2 linked regions of the Mus musculus genome follow. The protein of the gene in region 2 interacts with the protein of the main gene of each other region in a pairwise test. Links are inferred from orthologs where the notes say so. Each region holds a gene or a part of one and is shown on either strand. Other genes may lie near its edges.

The links. The genes of interacting proteins can lie anywhere in the genome.
Region 1: the proteins of Gopc (region 2) and Rnf183 interact in binary tests that used the Homo sapiens proteins (3 or more experiments, as listed by UniProt). The two-hybrid records come from large-scale screens. The link is inferred for Mus musculus from reciprocal best matches to the Homo sapiens genes GOPC and RNF183.

What each region holds. Positions count from the first base shown.
Region 1 is NC_000070.6:62,431,816-62,435,926, forward strand, and holds the start of Rnf183 (E3 ubiquitin-protein ligase RNF183), read right to left. Parts: upstream 2,826-4,111; 5' UTR 2,650-2,825; intron 1-2,649. UniProt on the Homo sapiens protein: Acts as an E3 ubiquitin ligase catalyzing the covalent attachment of ubiquitin moieties onto substrate proteins. Triggers apoptosis in response to prolonged ER stress by mediating the polyubiquitination and subsequent proteasomal degradation of BCL2L1.
Region 2 is NC_000076.6:52,379,319-52,383,461, forward strand, and holds the start of Gopc (Golgi-associated PDZ and coiled-coil motif-containing protein), read right to left. Parts: upstream 2,807-4,143; 5' UTR 2,581-2,806; coding exon 2,293-2,580; intron 1-2,292.

The DNA.
Region 1 (4,111 bases), on a different chromosome or scaffold from region 2:
ATAAACTAGCTATAAAATTTTAATTTAAAGAGAAAGGAAGAAAAAGGAAGGAAGAGAGAGAAAGAGAGAGACAGAGAGAGAGAGAGAGAGAGAGAGAGAGAGAGAGAGAGAGAGAGAGAGAGAGAGAGAGAGAGAAGAAATAATGAGAGTGGCATGAAAAACACCTTCAGAGACAGACATGCACATACAGTTCTCTGGAAGGTGGTTTGTATTGTTACAGAAGATGGATGTAAGAAAGATATTCTGTAGTCTTTAAAATGATGTGATAGAACATTTCTTATTATGGAGTGTGTCTAGGATATAATGTTATTAGGTATTAAAGATTCAGTGACAAAACAATCACAACATCATCTACTTTAAAAAACACACTGCACTGTGGAAAAATATCTCCCGGATGATAAAAAACCAAATGTTTTTTGTTGTTTGTTTGTTTGCTTGCTTGCTTGCTTGCTTGCTTGCTTGAGGTAGGGTCTCAAGCCCTGACTATGTAGACCAGGCTGGCCTCAAACTCAGTGATCAGCTCTCCTCTGCTTCCCAAGTTCTAGGCTTAATAGTGTGTGCTAGCTCTCCTAGAAAGAACTAAATGTCAACAGTGGTTATCAATGTGGGCAAAACCATCCATTTAGATTATTGCTACAGCTTTTGTCTTTAATTTTATTACTTGAAAATGTTAACTTTGGGGTTGACCAGAGTGAGCAGGGCCAGAGCAAGCAGAGGTCCTGAATTCAACTCCCAGCAACCACATGATGGCTCACAACCATCTGTACAGCTACAGTGCACCCATATCCATAAAATAACTAAATAAATCTTTAAAAGAAAATGTTAACTTTGGGGTTGGAGAGATGGCTCAGCAGTTAAGAGTACTGGCTGCCCTTCCAGAGGACCTGGATACAATTCCCAGTGTCCACATGGCAGCTCACATCTGTCTGTAACTCTAGCTCCACAGGGTTCAACATACTCACACAGATATACATGCAGGCAAAACATCAATGCACAAATAAAATAAGTTATTTTTTTTAAAAAGAAAATGTTGGGGCCAGAGACATGGCTCAGAGGTTAAGAGCACTGACTGCAGCTGGGCAGTGGTGGCACAAGCCTTTAATCCCAGCACTTGGGAGGCAGAGGCAGGCAGATTTCTGAGTTCGAGGCTAGCCTGGTCTACAGAGTGAGTTCCAGGACAGCCAGGGCTACACAGAGAAACCCTGTCTCGGAAGAAAAAAAAAGAAAAAAAAAAAAGCACTGACTGCTCCTCCAGAGGTCCTGAGTTCAAATCCCAGCAACCACATGAAAGGGATCTGATGCTCTCTTCTGATGTGTCTGTAAACATCTACAGTGTACATATATATAAATACATATATGTGTGTGTACATATGTGTGTGTACATATATGTATGTGTACATATATATGTGTGTGTGTGTGTATGTATATATATATTTTAAATGTTAACCTTGGGGGCTGGAGAGATGGCTCAGTGGTTAAGAGCACCGACTACTCTTCCAGAGGTCCTGAGTTCAATTCCCAGCAAAGAAAGTGGTTGGGATAGTAATGGGGAAAATTTCCCTTTTTTTTTTTTTTTTAAAGTTAACCTTATTCCAGTCAACTTGTCTCGCTATCCTTAAAGATCTCCCTTCACCACCCTAGATCAGACCTACATTCTCTGAGGTTTCATGACCATAGCTCTAAATGGATGTTCAATTAAAAAAGATGGGGGCTGGTGAGATGGCTCAGTGGGTAAGAGCACCCGACTGCTCTTCCGAAGGTCCAGAGTTCAAATCCCAGCAACCACATGGTGGCTCACAACCATCTGTAACGAGATCTGACTCCCTCTTCTGGAGTGTCTGAAGACAGCTACAGTGTACTTACGTATAATCAATAAATAAATCTTAAAAATATATATATATAAAAATAAAATAAAGAAAAAAAGAAAAAAAGATGGTAGCGGTTGCTTGGGTCCTTCTCTGAGGAGCTTCTCTCAGGCACCCACTGCACAGAGGTCAGTGTCTCTAGGAGACCAAGACGCCAGTGATTTACAGGCCCCAGCTTCCTGCAGAACAGCTCAGCAACAGTAAATTCTAAATACCTCCCTGCAGTCATCATTAACAGAAACTTGTCTATAGCATCTGCCCACCCCTATGTTTTCAGCATCCTGACAGCAAGCTGGAGAACTGGCATCCAGACCAAAAGGGCTGGCTCTTGCTAGAAGCTGTGTATGGTAACCTTTAGAGAACATCTTTGCCTTTTACAAACTGTTTCCATTTTCATGAGGCCATTTGATTGGCTAAACCCAGAAACAAGAATAGACCAGGGAGTGAAAAGTCTCACCAATTTGTGCTGATATGACTCAATGGCTTCACTTCTCCGAACCCTGCTTCCCTCTGTTGAGGAAGCCCATGACCCCTTCTTACTATTTCTGTGAGGAAGAAGCCAGCCTCACTCAGTGTACCACACAGGGTGGTCAGTACACACGTTCAAATGAGTCTATAAAGACCTACAAGCTAGGTGGGAAAACCCAGGCTCAGAATGTACAGTGACTTGGGCACCAGCTTCAGAGCCGGAGAGGCCGAGCTTGAAAATTGACCCAGAAGCCTGCCTCCTAGGTCAGAGTTCACACCAAAAAGCACACCTGCTCCTCCCTCTCCCACTCCTTACCAGCTTCAGCCAGCTTCTTCCTCTCTCAGCCCAGCCTTGAGGCAGGTTGCGCTGGCTTCCTCGCTGGCTTCCAGGTTGCTGGGAGCCAGCCTCTTTTGCATGGGTCTCCCCAGCTCTTGGTCCACTCTCTGGCTGGCTTTCTTCTTCCTTCCTCGGATGACTTTGGAACTCTGCATATACAAAAGACCTGGACATTTGCTTTTGTGAGTCACCCCTGCTTTCTCTGAGCTGGCAGGAGGAAGTCCACTCATCCTTGCAAGCTTCTGTTCTAGAAAGGGAGGGGCCCTAGCCTTTTTACCCTGGGCTGACCTGTCTGGACTCACACTTATCCTGGCTTTGGTAGGTAGGTAGGAGATCCCTGAAACCAGATACATGGCTACTCTGAGCCCTTGCAATGAAGGCACACCAAAGCAGATAACCCAGCAGAGGGAGACAGAGACAGAGACAGAGACAGAGACAGAGACAGAGACAGGGACAGGGACAGGGACAGGGACAGGGACAGGGACAGGGACAGGGACAGAGACAGACTGAGGCCTGGTAAGCATGAGCAGCAAGTGCCTGAATTCTTCAACAAGCCAGACACCGACCCGATAGGTATCCAGAGTCAGTGGCTTCTGAATCAATACAGGTAGTGAGGGCAGGACTTCACTTCTCCAAGCCTTGAGTTCCTCACCTGCAGCTGCGCGGAGAAATCCACCTTCCTTGTGGGGTGCAACTAGGGAGACAGTTCAGTGGTCAGAGTACTTGCTATGCGAGCACAAGAACCTGCATTCAAATCCCAAACATTCATGGAAAAACCTGGGCATGCATGCCTGTAGCTTCAGCGCTGGAGGGGGTGAAGGGTGGAGACTGGCAGGTCCTGGGAGCCTGCCAGCCAGCCTAGCCCAAGCAGCAAGCTTCCAGTTTGACGAAAGACTCTGCCTCAAAGAAATACAGCAAAAACATCTGACAGTCTCCTCTGGGTGCTACACGCATGCCCATGTGTGAGTTCACACACACACTTACCTACTCAGGCTGCAGAGTAAAGGAGATAATATCTACAAGTGTTACTACACAGTAAACGGCACGAAGAAACACAGTAGGGGTGAGTTAGAACTATATTATTATTATTATCACTATAGCGTGACCAGGTAAAGAGTGAAAAATGCAAATGAAGCACACACATAGAAGTTCTTTTTTTACTTTTTTTTTGTTGTTGTTGTTTTTTTTGAGACAAGGTTTCTCTGTGTAGCCCTGGCTGTCCTGGAACTCACTTTGTAGACCAGGCTGGCCTCAAACTCAGAAATCCGCCTGTCTCTGCCTCCCAAGTGCTGGGATTGAAGGCATGCACTACAACCACCCGGCTACATTTCATTTTTTTTTATTAGATATTTTCTTCATTTACATTTCAAATGCTGTCCCAAAAGTCCCCTGTACCCTCCCCATGCCCTACTCCCCAACCCACCCACTCCTGCTTCCTGGC
Region 2 (4,143 bases):
ATATGAACGTTCCTTTTGTGTAAGTATTGTTTGTTTTATTCATTTATCTATATCTGTTTTCTTAAGACAGGGTTTCATGTGGCCCAGACTGGCCTGAAACTTCTGATCCTCCTGTCTCCACCATCTAAAGACTGAGATTACGGATACAAATTACCCACCCTGGAGTTATCCATGTCTTGAGACTATAAAAACATTCTATTATAAGTACTAATCTCTGAAACAACTAAACTTGGTATACGTTTATTACACGGATAGCAAGCAGCGTCACCTATGACTTCAGCATCCTTAAAGACTAGTCAGAAGGCCTAGTTTACTTATTGAGACAAAATTAAGACTGAGTAAGAAAGCACCAAAATCTCTTATAAGATTAACACTGAGGATCTCAGTAGATTGTCAACAGTTCACAGAACATCCCAAGAGTCTGAATATGGCACACTAGGTGTACTTGGAAAGTTGTGACTGGCCATAAGTCTTTTCACAGCAGTACACAGTTATAATACGAAAACTATGTAAGATGTCTTATGTATAAAAATTGTCACAGGTGAATCATGTATAGTTGAATATACTAAGCAGAAAAACCAAATTATCCTCCTCATCATTTCTAAGGTCTCTGAATCAAGAGTTGCAATTATACTGAAAACCACACACTGTGATATGCTAGCATTCTTTACTTTAAGAAGTAATGCTACTTCCTAAGATGGGACATGGACTTAGAATATGTAAGTATAATTTCCTGGAAAAAAAAACACGCAAGTTATTACATGCACAGTCTAGTAGAGAAATATTCTTTCAAATTATTTAAAAATTTAAAAAACTTGAATACCTTCTAGTCATAGGGAAAAAAATATTTTTCTCAAAATCAGACCTTATTGCTAACATCAGAAAGTACTATTGTTTAGCTTCCTTAGGTCATTTAAAAAACAAGTTAAAATTGTTTTATGTTTTAAAAGCCACTTATCTCCAGTATATGGTTAAATATGGAGATGGTATGTAAGTTATTTGGCAAAAGCTACTCTTAATCTTTGATCTTTAAAGCTAAAATACCATTTTAAAAGCCACTAAATACTACCTGAAAACTCAGCTTTAGGAATTACCATTCATTGGAGAAAAAAAAAAAAAATCAAGAGACAGCCTTATCTACACTTAATGCTTTTACATAAGTACTTTCATCCCACTCTTTCCAAAAAGAAACCATAGCATCCTGAATATGTAAGATGCTAATCAAATATTAGTGGCAAATGTTTTTCATGGCTAACTAATATGAAAGACTGTTGAGCACTAAGCAAGGACAGGAAACCAATCTAGCATACACATGAATCTGTACACAACAGGCCCTATCATTATTACAGTTAACAGTAAAGAGGAGCTCTTAAGAAAGCTAAGGCACAAAGAACTTCACACATAACAAAGTATCTCTCTTTTTTTTTAATCCTTTTTAAAATCAAAGAGCTACTCTCTACTGAAATTGTCTATTTTTAAAAGGTTTCCCATATAATGTTAGTACACCATAATTTCTAAATCTTGTAATACTGGCCTAGTTGAATTTTCCACACAAAATGGGAGGTTTGGAATTCCTGTTTGCAATCACACTCCCCTTGCTCTGATTAGAGACCTAAGCAAAGGATTGTCTTTACATAGTCTCAAAGGTCTGAAATTAGGGAAAATACTGTAAAATACAAAGACATACCATCTCACTCAATACTAGAAGTTATTTGAATATTGACAGCTCTAAAGACATAGCTGCCCGTAATATCTGCCAAGTGTGAATGTAAACTGAGAAGGTAGATAGGAACATATATATTCCATTACATTTCCCCAAGAGCTTTGATCGGATTCCCCTAAGTTCATGCATGTCTCTGTGTACAGACACGGACGTTGATCTGGGCTATTGGATGAAAATAATCAGAGCTGCATCTGTCTGAAAATACATCATCTAGCTTGTCATTATCAAAGCAGAAGAGGAGAGTTGAGGTATTCCCCGACAGAAGATCTTGGTAATAACACCTACAAGGCAGGTAGTGTGATTAGCTCCTGTCCCCACCGCATGAGATGCTGGGAGGTGGATGACAGGACGTCTGGAGACCCACACATCAGTCTGCATCCTTTTCCTCCCCCACCCGCTCCGCACTCCTTTGCTTCACTCACGTATAAAACGCACTCTCCATCGCATTCGAAGCTGAGGTGTCCAGTGGGTAGGTTTTTAAGGATCATTTTCCTAGTGCTTTAAATGGGATCTAACGACCTCGGACAGCCTGGGGTTGAATGCTATTGCTGCCAGCCCCCGAGGCTCACCTCAAGCTTGTGGTTGATCTGGGACACAGTCTGGGCTTTGTGGCATAGCTGCGCAAAGCAGGAGCTAAGGCTGGTCATCTTCTGACGCCCCTCATAAGTGATGTCCGCCTGGTCCGGATCGATCTCGCCCAAAAGCAGATCCACATCCACGAAGGCCTTGTCGAACTCCTTCTCCAGCACCTCAAGCCATCGGAACATGGACACCCCGCCAGGGGAGACCCCCACAGGGCAGGAGGAGCCCCCTGGGCCGCCGCCGGCTCCCGCCGGGCATGGGCCACCCGCCGACATGGCGCCGTCCAGGGCCTCGCCGACTGCTGCTCACTCTGGCCGCCCGCCCCGCGCGAGGGGAACTGCTAGCACCGCGGCGCCCCCCGCGCGCGCGCACACACAGACACACACGCACACACACACAGACACACACCCGCCGGTCCCCTCCCTTCCCTCGCGCCGCCAACGCCGGCAGCGCAGCTCCAGAGCAGCAAAGGAAGCGGGGCTGAAGCAGCGACAGCGACACGGAAGACCCGCCCCGCCCGCAAGCCGGCCCGCCCCCGCCGCGCGTGCGTAGCGGAGCCCAGAGCAGGCGCAGCCCAGAGGGAGAAAGTGGGCGGGGCCGTACGAGAGCTTAGCCAATGAAAAGCCTTCGCCTCCACAAGCCTGTCTGCGACCATTTTGACGACCGGCAAAACCCTGAGAAGCAAAGGGTTGAGGTGGCCCCTTGCAAGTGGGGAAGACCGGAGGAAGGGAAGGGAAAGATTCCACGTCGCAGAGGGGACCGGCTTCCGCCAGTTTGGCTTCACAGTGGGCCTGGAACCGGTCCACAGACGTCTAGCAAAGTTGCTACTGGGGTGTCAAGGGGCTCGGGTGGGAGCGGGGAGGGCCGTGTGTGCATGCGCAATAGCCACGTTTTCTCTTCCGATTTCCAGCTCTTAGGGCGGGAGGGTGGGGACACTGGCTAATGTTGCTAAACCTGACGGTGCATTCCAGCCAGAAGCTGCCTATGGAAGCTACTGAGCAAGTTTTGTTGAATCAATGGTTCCTCCTTCTATGATTGACAAGCTGGGGTTCTAGGCCAATGTATTATTACATACTAGCTGCCCCACCTCAGTGGTGTTACCTTGCTTGGGTAACAAGGTTTCCAAAGTTTACTTCACTTGGCAATTAAGGTAAAGTGAAAGTGTTATCACTTGGTACATAGCACTCATCTTACTGCATCACAGATCGTATATTTCTAAAGCAACCACTTGGGATGCTGTAATCATCTTATAAACTAGTATTGTGCTCGTTCCCATGTTATTTTCATATGTTCATAAACATTGAATACATATCCCGATTGAGGCACTGAGGACATAAAATCTAATGAAACGACCTCATCCAAGCCGAACTAGTAAGACAGTGAGGCTCTCACGACTTTTAATTCCAGTGTTGCGTGCATTTGAGAGCATTTATCAAGAGCTTTCTTTGTGTCCTGCCTCTCATCTCTTCCACTTCTCCAACTCCACCCCTGTCTAAACCAACAGTAGACTGTCCGGAAGGGAAAGGAGAAGCCAGACTAATTAGAGTAGGCAGGTAGGAATTGTGCTTCCTGACTCGCCTACGGGAGTATGTGGAAAATTAGTCCATAATCTTTCGGAAGTTGTTCTTGGGACGGACCTTTCTAATAAATCATCAACCAAAGTCTGCATGGCATTGTGTGCCTCTCATCAAAGCAGTACCAATAAGAATTAAGAAATAACAGATTTAGTTTGCACTCTGGTTACTCCAATGCATGACTGCTTACCATCAAGCAAAAGCTATTATGACTTCAGCAAACTTAGACAAGTAAAACTAACCATGCAACTCTTCCCTTGAGTT